Saccharomyces cerevisiae S288C: one gene and its partners. Changing the gene in region 1 together with any one later gene gives a genetic interaction. Each region holds a gene or a part of one and is shown on either strand. Other genes may lie near its edges.

Evidence for each region. A genetic interaction does not mean that the proteins touch.
Region 2: mutations in ATS1 (region 1) and GCN20 together harm fitness more than expected from each alone (negative genetic interaction), as found in Saccharomyces cerevisiae (2 studies listed by BioGRID).
Region 3: mutations in ATS1 (region 1) and VHS1 together harm fitness more than expected from each alone (negative genetic interaction), as found in Saccharomyces cerevisiae (3 studies listed by BioGRID).

What each region holds. Positions count from the first base shown.
Region 1 is NC_001133.9:113,114-116,347, forward strand, and holds ATS1 (Ats1p), read right to left. Parts: upstream 1,503-3,234; coding exon 501-1,502; downstream 1-500. Other genes in the region: CCR4-NOT core exoribonuclease subunit CCR4, read right to left, coding at 1-246; DNA-dependent ATPase FUN30, read left to right, coding at 1,806-3,234.
Region 2 is NC_001138.5:160,536-165,246, reverse strand, and holds GCN20 (putative AAA family ATPase GCN20), read right to left. Parts: upstream 2,760-4,711; coding exon 501-2,759; downstream 1-500. Other genes in the region: ubiquitin-specific protease UBP6, read right to left, coding at 1-180; FAR7 (Far7p), read right to left, coding at 4,047-4,711. UniProt on the Saccharomyces cerevisiae protein: Acts as a positive activator of the GCN2 protein kinase activity in response to in response to low amino acid, carbon, or purine availability.
Region 3 is NC_001136.10:954,467-957,898, reverse strand, and holds VHS1 (putative serine/threonine protein kinase VHS1), read right to left. Parts: upstream 1,887-3,432; coding exon 501-1,886; downstream 1-500. Other genes in the region: YDR248C (gluconokinase), read left to right, coding at 1-141; YDR246W-A (uncharacterized protein), read right to left, coding at 2,566-2,766; TRAPP subunit TRS23, read right to left, coding at 2,952-3,432. UniProt on the Saccharomyces cerevisiae protein: Probable serine/threonine protein kinase involved in the G1-S transition.

The DNA.
Region 1 (3,234 bases):
CATGTTCGCGTTCCCATTAGCCAATTGGTCGAGCAACTGGCGCGAGTTGTTGTTGCTGGAAGTGTGTACATCGCTGTTGTTCATGAGTCCCGGTGGAGGTATCCCGGTGAGCTGGTTCATGTGTAGCTGCTGCTGTAGAGCGTTTGGTGTACCCTTTCCTAGTAGCCCGGCATGCTGCTGTTGCTGCTGTTGCTGTTGCTGCTGCGGGCCCACATTAGGGTAGCCTAGTAAAGAAGGGTCGTTCATTAGCGGTAGTTTGCAGGGATAACGTCAGTCGGAGTTCCCTTGCTGGTGTCCCTTATGCTGTGCCCTTGTGCTTGAGAACCTTCTCTAAGGTGGAAACTTTTTCAAATTTTTTCGTTGTTGGCCCGTTTTTCGCAAGTACGGGCGATAACAAAAGGCCTAAACGGCTACTTTACCTTTGAGATCTACCACGATGAGAATTAATGCTGAATGGACATCTATGTATATGATAGTGGGTATATAGTTACTTATCAGTGCTAGAGCACGATCCACGTGGTGGCACATCCGCCAAACACGCGAGGTTTTCCAGAGTATTGGCCCACGAGCTGCAGTCCAGGCTGGGAGCCCTTTTGCGGGCCGCAGTTGCCATGCTCTCCCCAGCCCCAGCAGTATACATTGTAACAGTGAGACTTGCCTTCTTGATTAGCAGTAGTTAGAATACCGTGCTCACTCCCGGTTGCAACACCGACAATAGGGAAGTCTAGGCGCTCTTGCGGGAAGAGTTGGGAATGTGTGCCCCTACCAAACGACTCTACCGTATTGAGGCGCGCATTCCACAGGTGGATCGAGGTCCACATGCACAGTACCACTAGATTGTGTCTTTTTTGCTGTTGTTTGAGCTCGAACCCAGTGGGCAGGCGACCGGATGCGTGCACTATGCGGCCGCCCTCGTCCACTATGACCATGAAGTCCTTGCCCATGGCCACGTAGTCTACGGCCACAGACCCGGTATCGTACACCAATACGGGCTCTTTCAGTGATCGGGATTTGGGCTCTTGCAATTGACACTTTGTGTTGCTGCCCCAGCCGTATACTCGGGTGCCTTGCACCACCACAAAGTTCTGGAAACATCCGTATACTGCGATGCGCTCATCGTTGGAATTCAATGGCACATGTTGCTGAGTGAACTCGTAGCAACCGCCTCCTCTCTGCCATACACGGCCATCAGCATCCACAATAACTGTCGTGTCCCAGCCGCACGCCACATCCACCACGGGTGCCGGTACTTCCACGGGCCTCCAGTCATGCACCTGCCGCAGTGCTTGCGCACTATCCAGTTCTCCCCGTCTGTTATCTCCACATCCTACCAGATTCCCGTCATTTGTCAGCATCACGCTGTGGTTCCCACCGCACGCTATCTTCCTGACTATTGCTCCATCATCTCCTGGCACAGACCTCTGTGGGGTATCCATATCCTCATCGTGCCCCAGTCCCAGTTGCCTTTGCCCATTAGACCCAAACGCATACACACAACTCATCGATACAAGCCTGTTATAGCCTTTAATGATCACATTCCATCACTTGCGCTTTGGATCTGCCTGCATTATCAAGGCTCAAACGGCTGCGTTACCCCCGTCGCCGCGAAATTTTTCATAATTTTTCACTTTGTAGGATTAAAAGAGATCATGAGCCCATCTCGCAATGCAACACGTAACTTAAATCAGTACTGGCGTGTGCTATAGTGCTCTATATTCGAGTTTGTTGCTACTGGTGGACACCCGACTATCTACAGTAAGGAACGTAAACAAGAAAAAGAGAGAAAATACGCTATAGTTGAAAACATGAGTGGTTCGCATTCAAATGATGAGGATGACGTAGTGCAAGTGCCCGAGACGTCCTCTCCCACCAAGGTAGCATCGTCGTCTCCCTTAAAGCCTACTTCGCCAACAGTTCCGGATGCAAGTGTGGCGTCTTTGAGAAGCAGGTTTACTTTCAAGCCTTCAGATCCCAGCGAAGGAGCTCATACTTCGAAGCCGCTCCCATCTGGGAGTCCTGAGGTAGCACTGGTTAACCTTGCGAGAGAGTTCCCCGATTTCTCTCAAACTCTGGTGCAGGCTGTTTTCAAATCTAACTCTTTTAACTTACAGTCTGCCAGGGAACGTCTTACAAGATTGAGGCAGCAAAGACAAAATTGGACATGGAACAAGAACGCATCTCCCAAGAAGTCAGAAACCCCGCCACCTGTCAAGAAGTCATTACCACTGGCAAACACAGGCCGTTTATCATCTATCCATGGCAATATCAACAACAAATCCTCCAAGATTACCGTGGCCAAACAGAAAACGTCCATTTTTGACCGTTACTCAAACGTCATCAACCAGAAACAATACACTTTTGAGCTGCCAACTAACTTGAATATAGACTCGGAGGCACTGAGCAAGTTGCCCGTGAACTACAACAAAAAGAGAAGGCTGGTAAGGGCAGATCAGCATCCAATTGGCAAGTCTTATGAGTCATCCGCTACACAATTAGGTTCTGCAAGAGAGAAACTACTGGCGAACCGCAAATACGGTCGTCATGCAAACGACAACGATGAAGAGGAGGAAGAGAGTATGATGACGGACGATGACGATGCAAGTGGCGACGACTACACAGAATCCACGCCGCAGATAAATCTGGATGAACAAGTTTTACAGTTTATTAATGACTCTGATATTGTCGATCTCTCGGACCTCTCAGATACCACGATGCATAAGGCTCAACTCATAGCCTCACATAGGCCATATTCTTCTTTAAATGCCTTTGTAAACACAAATTTCAATGATAAGGACACTGAGGAGAACGCATCGAACAAGAGAAAAAGACGTGCGGCTGCATCCGCCAATGAGAGTGAGAGGCTGCTCGATAAAATCACCCAAAGTATAAGAGGTTACAATGCAATTGAGTCTGTGATCAAGAAATGTTCTTCCTACGGTGATTTGGTCACTTCGCAAATGAAGAAATGGGGTGTGCAAGTGGAAGGCGATAACTCTGAGTTGGACCTGATGAACCTTGGGGAAGACGATGACGACGACAATGATGATGGCAATAACGATAATAATAATAGCAACAATAACAATACCGCTGGCGCAGACGCCACTAGCAAGGAAAAAGAAGATACAAAGGCCGTAGTGGAAGGTTTTGATGAAACTAGCGCAGAACCTACTCCAGCACCAGCACCAGCACCAGTGGAAAGAGAAACAAAACGAATTAGAAACACAACTAAGCCAA
Region 2 (4,711 bases), on another chromosome or scaffold:
TTTAATGGACTCTTCGCCAGACAAGCCACCTTTAACCATGTATTTTTGGCGGGCACTTGGGACTTGGGTCAATTCCTCTGCTTTGCTTTTCAAATCTGCTGAAGTAGCATCAGTGGAAAGTGTTATTGGGTAAACTTTACCAGAATGTCTAATATTGAACTCAAACGTTTCTCCGCTCATATTTTAACACAAGGATAGGTAGGGCTAATTTCCTTATTTTTATATCCTCTTAGAGAACGAAATCTCGTATTTCAATTGCACCAATTACTTGCAGTGGCAAAATTCGAAAAGCACTTCACCCTTCTTGTAGATTTTATGTTTTATATTAGCCACTACTTTTTTACGTAAAAAGTGATACATATACCAATGACCCAGAATGCCCAGTTAGGTCAATTAGATTCCAATACAAGTAGTCAAAAAAAAAAAGTATCATGGGGCTATGAATGCATACTTAATTTAGGCTTCTATGGAAAATATATTCTGAGGTGCTTCCTAAATAATCAATGCTTTTTAACCACACCTGCAGCATCAGCAGACTGCAAGATGTAATCTCTATAGTCGTAAATTGTACCTTCGAACCTCTTGACAGTACCTTGCTCTGAAACCCAAATCTCTTTACAAACAGAGTCAATAACAGAGATATCATGGGAAACCATTAAGACACCACCGTTGAAATTTTTCAAGGCTTCTACCAAAGCGTCTAGACCAGTGGTATCCAAATGGTTAGAAGGTTCATCCAGAACCAAAATGTGTGGATTATTTAAACACAATGCAGCGAATGCTACACGAGATTTTTGACCACCGGATAATAATTGCATCTTTTGTAGACCCAGGGTACCAGTGATACCAAATGAACCTAGATGACGTCTATACTCTTCATCAGTTTTACCTGGGAAGGATTTGGACATCCAGTCCACTGCAGACGTGGTCAAATCCATAGAATCCACATGATGTTGAGTGAAGTAGCCTATACGTAATCTTGGGTTTCTTGATACAAAGCCTTTTAGTGGTCTTAACTGCTCCATCATAATCTTCAACAGTGTAGTCTTACCACAACCATTGGCACCTACAAGGGCAATTCTGGAATCCATTTGAACGTCCAGGTTAACATCTTTCAATAATAGGTTGTTTTCATCATAACCAAAGGAAACGTCTTGCAATTGGATAATTGGTGGAGACAATTTATCACATTCAGGGAATTTGAAATCAATGGTTTTGTCTTGTTCAGGTGGCTCCAAAACGGGCAATTTTTCCAATTTCTTAATTCTTGATTGAGCTTCCTGTGATTTGGCAGCATTGTATCTGTATTTGTCAATAAACTCTTGCAAGTGCTTTCTGTAAACCATTTGGTTATCATACTCACGTTGAGCATTCTTTCTACGTTCCTCCTTTGTGGTGTAAAAGGTATCGAAATCTTGGCCTCTGTAATAGTCTAGTCTTTCGTTGTGTTGATAAATGATATCTGTAGCCACTTCATTCAAGAATGCACGGTCGTGAGAAACTGTCAAAACTGTATTTGGATATGTTTTCAAATACTCTGCTAAATAAGCGATGGATGGCACATCCAACATATTGGAAGGTTCATCTAACAACAAAAGATCTGGTTGACAGAATAAGGCTCTTGCCAAGGACAATCTCATTCTCCAACCACCGGAAAAGGAATTAGTGGGTTGTTGCTGTGCCTCCGTACTGAACCCCAAACCATATAAGATTGATGCTGCCCTAGCTTCAGCCTTGTCAGATTCCATATCGACTAATTTGTCAGAAATCTGTATCAAATGGTTATCCAAGTCTTCTCTTTCATTGTCCAATTTTTTAACTTCTAAACTGTCTTCTTCGAATTCCTGTCTTAATACATCCATTTCCTTTAATCTTTCATTGATCTTGGCTTCTTCACTTAATAGTTGTTTTCTCCAAACGTCTGCATCCAGCACACTTTGTAAAGCCTTTGTATCATCACCTCTTAACTCTTGTTCCACGTGTAAAATCGAAACATGTTTGGGGACGTTCAGCTCTCTTCTAGATAGAGCCCTTAACAAAGTAGATTTACCAATACCATTTTGGCCCACAAGACCATATCTGTGACCAAAACTTAGAGTCAATTGGGCGTTGGACAAAATTCTTTGACCGTCACCAACGTACAAGTCGAAAGTGTCAATATGGATATCCTTGGATTTACCAGCGGATGAACCGAATTCTAAAGGGTTGATTTGCAAAAAGAAAGAATCGTAATCCTCCTCCTTTTGGTCATTGATCAATTTAGAAGCCTCGTATTTAACAAATTTGTTATTTCTCTTGGCGACTTTCTTTGCGATCTTTTGTTCAGCCTTGGCCAGTTTTTTCAAATCAACTCTTGTTTCCATCTTTCTACCAGTATGTTCGATGTCACCGTTCACACCCAGCATGCTTAATGAGACGTTGATATCGGATTTACTGTTATGACTCTTTAAGACATTAATATCAAGTAATCTCTTGGACGTATCACCGGTCAATTCCAATTTGGCTTCGTTCTCCTTTAGTTGAGTAGTCAATTGCTTCAAAATACTTTCCGATAGTTCTTTAACTTTAGCCTTTGACGCACCCGCATCAATCAATAAATCGGACACAAATTGCACTTCAGTGGACAAATCTACCTGCTTACTTTGAACAGCATCAAAAGTTATTCCGGACAAGTGGTTAAAGTAGCCCACTGCGTAATCCGTGACGATAGGGTCAATACTAGAAGCAGCTTTTCTCACTTGCGAACCGATGCTTGCCATTTCAAAAAAGTTATTTACCTTTTGTGCTATGAATCGAAGTTAACGTTTTAGCGCTTCAAAACGACTAGTCTTAGCTAGCTTACTGCAGAATATATATTTCTCTTTTCAAATGTCTTTCATTTTCTACTAGATCTAATAATACGAAAAATTTTCAGGAACAAAAAAATAAAAATCAGAAAAAAAAGAAACTGCGCAAGCCCGGAATCGAACCGGGGGCCCAACGATGGCAACGTTGGATTTTACCACTAAACCACTTGCGCTTGTTTTCTTGTGAAAACTATCCTTGGATAAATCAATAATAATGTTTGTAACTTCTCTAACCAATTTGAGATGTAACGAATGATAATTAGTGTGTTGGAATAAAAATCCACTATCGTCTATCAACTAATAGTTATATTATCAATATATTATCATATACGGTGTAAAGATGATGACATAAGTTATGAGAAGCTGTCATCGAAGTTAGAGGAAGCTGAAGTGCAAGGATTGATAATGCAATAGGATAATGAAACATATAAAACGGAATGAGGAATAATCGTAATATTAGTATGTAGAAATATAGATTCCATTTCGAGGATTCCTATATCATCGAGGAGAACTTCTAGTATATCCTGTATACATAATATTATGGCCTTTATCAACAATGGAATCCCAACAATTATCTCAAAATTCGCCAAATAGTCAAGTATTATAGCCTTGATCAATAATGGGATCCAATAATTATTAAACTATTCACCCAATCTTCACAGATCTTCTAGTCAACGAGGGAAAATCCATATTTCTAAATAGTATTATTTATCCTTGCACTTCAACTTCCATTGAAGCTGATGATTGTTTCTTAATTTTCATGTTATCTTCTGGCAGCGTATATGAGATTATACTAATTATATGAAAATATATTAATAGTATAGATACTAATCGGTAAACGATAATCGACTCTCATCACAACAAAATGCTTTTGCAAATATTGAGGAAATTATATATGTTTATTAAACATATATATCCTGTGTATTTATAGAGGCTTTCCTCCAACATTTTATTATTTTTGGCAAATAATACAGTAGCTTAGGATATCTTACGCACGCAACTGCAGGAAAAGAACGTCAAGACATTCTGTGAGTTGTTTTCCCGCAAAATGTTCCACCGTCGTTACTTTTTCAATTTCATAAACATATATCAGAATGGAAAAAGCCTTCATAAATGAGCTTCGAATTTTTGCGCAATCTCGAATATAAGAAGCATGTATATTTGTCATCTTGCTTTCATTGGAAGCAAAAGGGCAAAGTTTCAATCTTGTGCATGTAACCTCAGTAGTAATCTATAAGTGTGAGATATATCTGTCAATTTTTGCAGACCATTAACATTTTCCAAATACATCTTGAACTCTTCATCTTCGAGGGGAATTGTCTCCGTCTGGAATTTCTGCCTAATCAATTTGATAGTCTCTTTATGATGCATTAGAATGTTTCCTCTTAATTGGGCGACAATGTAATTTAAAGAGTCTTCGGAGTAAGACAATAAATCCATGGATTCAAGGGTTACCTGCTTGGATTCCTGTAAACTTTTCCGGAGCATTGAATTTTGGCGCTTCAACACTCCTAGCATAACGTCATCTTTCGCATTTTCATCCAGATTGTTGCTTAGTTGCTCTTTCTCAGTAATAGGAGCTTTCCCTCTTTGTTCTAGAAATCTATTAAATAATGCAATATTTTCCGTGGTATCGTGAGGTTCTTCAGATGTCTCATACTTGTTTAAGCTTCCGGATAATATGTCTATGTTCCTTAGTATTTTCGCCTTTTCTGCTTGATTTTCCCTCAACTGTTTCACTAGCTTGTTAACTAACAAGTACATATGATTCAAGTTTTCTGCTTGAGGAGACATATATACTTGCTGCTGCTGCTGCTGCTGCTGTTGTTGTTGTTGCATTGACAAAACGTTGATTTGGTCACTCA
Region 3 (3,432 bases), on another chromosome or scaffold:
TCTCAATTCAGGGATCTGGAGTTACCAGACATCAACGACGAAACTGACTGTGACATTGTTCCCTTAGATTTCAAAACGTTTTATCAAATTGAAAAAGATGTTATACAGGTGGTAAAAAGTAAAGTTTTGAATATTGAGTAAATAACGCTTGGATAAAACGAAGTAAATATTAGAAACAGTTATATAGAAATTAAATACGGTGACCTGGAAAATTAACAAAGACAGAACAAATGTGAATGAATAATAATAGCAACTTCCAAAAAAAAAAAAGGGGTTACAGGGATCAACAAAAAAAAGCAAGAAAAAAAATGAATAAAGGGAATACCATAAAAACAAATAACATTAAACGGATGAGGGGGTCATAACGGAAGTGTGAATATAACTACAACTTGCTTTGGCAAGTAATATTTTCGGGAAAACAGATGATCATCAAGAGAAGGTCTATCAATTGTGGGCTTAAAACAGATGTGTAGTACACTTTTGTGCCAAAAAGGAGGGGGTTAGTTAGTTAAAGAAGAGGAACTCATGCGAAGTTCGTTGAATTTTTTTTCGAACAAGGAAAATTTGTTGGAAATCTTAGAACATTCGTTATCGGACTCGCAAGAAGTGCTTGTGAACGAAGAATGCAATCCAGTGTCTGTGTCTAGCGTTCCGAAACTGCCACTGCGACTGCCATTATCATCGTCTATCCCTTCTTTGATTCCATCTTCTTCCTCACTTGAAGATGTATAAGATAAATTCTTGGCAGCTTTACTATCGTGCATGTACACGTAGGATTTTGGAGACAAATTCTCATTCGTGTTATCGACGGGGCTAACGAACTTTTCATAAACAGACTTGGAAAGAGGCGGCACTTTTGATAACGGGCCTTCATTGGTGAAGCTTGTAATAGAACTAACTTCTTTCATCAACTCTTGCAAGCTCATTCTATTCTTCGGATTCACTTGTAAAATCTTAGATAATAATGAGTAAAAGTCATCGGAAAGCGGTAGGATTTGCTTTAGTATATTGGGATCCTTAGTGAAATAATAGTAGGTATTATCCTCGGTTTTGTCAGCCTTCAGCCAGGGATTTCTGATGCATGTCAAATTGATAAGGATGATACCTAATGACCACAAATCGCCATTACATGAGGGACAAACCTTACCCAACTTATGTCCCCCACTTTTAGAGCTGGAAACTCTCCCATCAAATGAGATTCTTTCAGGGGGCATATAATACGAGCTACCAATGCAAACATTTGGCTTTATATATGTGGAAGTAGTGGATAGACCAAAATCGCATAGGAAAACGTTATCTTCTGTATCCAGTAGCAAGTTTTCAGGCTTGATGTCACAGTGGTAGATGCCGTGCTCATGGCAATAATTAAGAGCAGAACAGATCTGTAGAAAAACCTTTTTTACTAGCAGTCCATTAGTGACAAAATGTCTGTTATCTACAATAGACGTGAATAGGTCTGTTGGGTAATAATCCATGACAATGAACGTGCAGACTGCAGATTGTAGCACCTCATGTATGGTGACAATGTTCTTATGATGGTGGACTCTTAGGTGTAGCGAAATCTCTTTATAATGGGGCAGCTTTTTAAAATCTTCTTCTGACATATTCTCAATTGATTCTAGATCTATAGAGGGCACCCTGACAACGTTTTTCGATTCCTTGAACAGTTTAGCGAGCTTCTTTTGCAATTTCACGCTATTTTTGTGTATTTTATCATTGCCCATATCAGCCTCCTTGCTAACACCGTAACTTTGAACAACCGCTTTGATAGCGTATTGTCTATCGGTACGAATATCTAAGGCACGGTAAACCAGACCGTACGCGCCTTCGCCAATTTGAGAAGTTATTAAGTAGTTATTAATTCTGCAATTATGGAACATCATCATTACTTTTTTCTTTTTTTTTTTTTTTTCTTTCTCTTATTTTATTTTACTTTAGTATTTCACCTTAGTATATTATCGTACAGTAAATGTTAAGAACTTTTGTAAACGTAACTCATAAAACAAAAAAACAATGGTAGCGCCAACACCAGCAACAAAAAGAGGTAAACAAAAATATAATAGCAGTGACACAAATGTAAAAACGCTGTAAAGCTAATAAATCAAGTCTTTTCTTATAGCACTTGTAAGTATGAATAAATATCAGTGAGTCTTAAGGTGGCAACGGTAAGGGAGGGAGAGAACCAAAGCAGTTTTAAAATTAAAAATAAAAATAAAGGTTTAATAGCACTATAATATGGCACACTAAATTTAATTGAGGTACGTTTTAGGCTCCAGTATAAACAAAAGGGCACCAACGTCAACATGTATAAATAATAATAAATAAATCGGCGAAAACGTTCCAACGTGCGGCCGCTGCTTGGCAAATTAACTGGACGGGGTTAAGTGGCAAGCCGCGCGAATTAGCGGACGCGGACCTAGATACACAAGCGAGGACTGCTAAGTTAGGCCATGTTGGCGGGGGTAGTGGCGGTGGTGGTGGCGGCATCCCTTCCCCACGTTTTGGTCCCTTTAACGTAACTGGTAAAAGTAGGATCGACTACCCCTTTTGGGTTACACTTTGGTATCAGTCATCCATCAGCGGAAAAAATGGACAGCTTTGACTATCCCTATTGTGTACCCGGTTCCGAACTGGTGTTTCCGTACTCACGTGCCGAAAGCTGCGTAATAGTGCATTGGCAGGATATGATGTGATGGATTGTATGGTGTTTCCAGGGCAGGAAGGGAGTAAGAAAAAGGAAGCAAGATGACGATATAGGCGGCGCATTTTCTATCGCTGGTGTTGGGATGCAGAGGATCCGTCGCAGTGTGGTCTTTTTTCGTACGTAGTAGTAAAAGCTATCCCTATTTATGAAGGAGGAGACGGAGAGCGGCAACTTCTTCTTAGTTCTAGAAGTACGTAGTATTTATTTTCTTGGTGTGAATGCGTTTATCTTCCGATGGCGCGTGCGTCTATTGTAGGTTTTCTACCATTTTTTTGACTTTTTCGTCGAACAGGTTAGATCTTATAGGCATTTCCATTGAGTAAGATGGGTCTTTCATGACGTAGTCACTATACAAACAGTAAACCTTCCTTAGGAAGTTGTCGGCTATTTGGATGGCCAAATTGGATGTACTCTTGGGTCGGTCAGGCTTGTCGGTGGTGGCTATAGTTGGCTGTCTCTGGGGCATGACGCTGGAGCTGATAGCGACAAACTTCAGGCCGGTTAGGGTCTGATATATGAACATCGTGAACTGATCCGTGCATAGTTGTCTCAATCCGCTCTTGTTCCAGTTCGTAAATGGTTCTTTGAAAAAATCATCTCCTTTAAAACTGCCCAGTTTTTCATTATTAGTGTGTTTGTTGTTATTGCCACCTCCATTTCTTGTATCGCTCCTATTGCTGGACATGCCCACGTAAGGTATATATGGGATGGTATTTTCGATGTTCGTT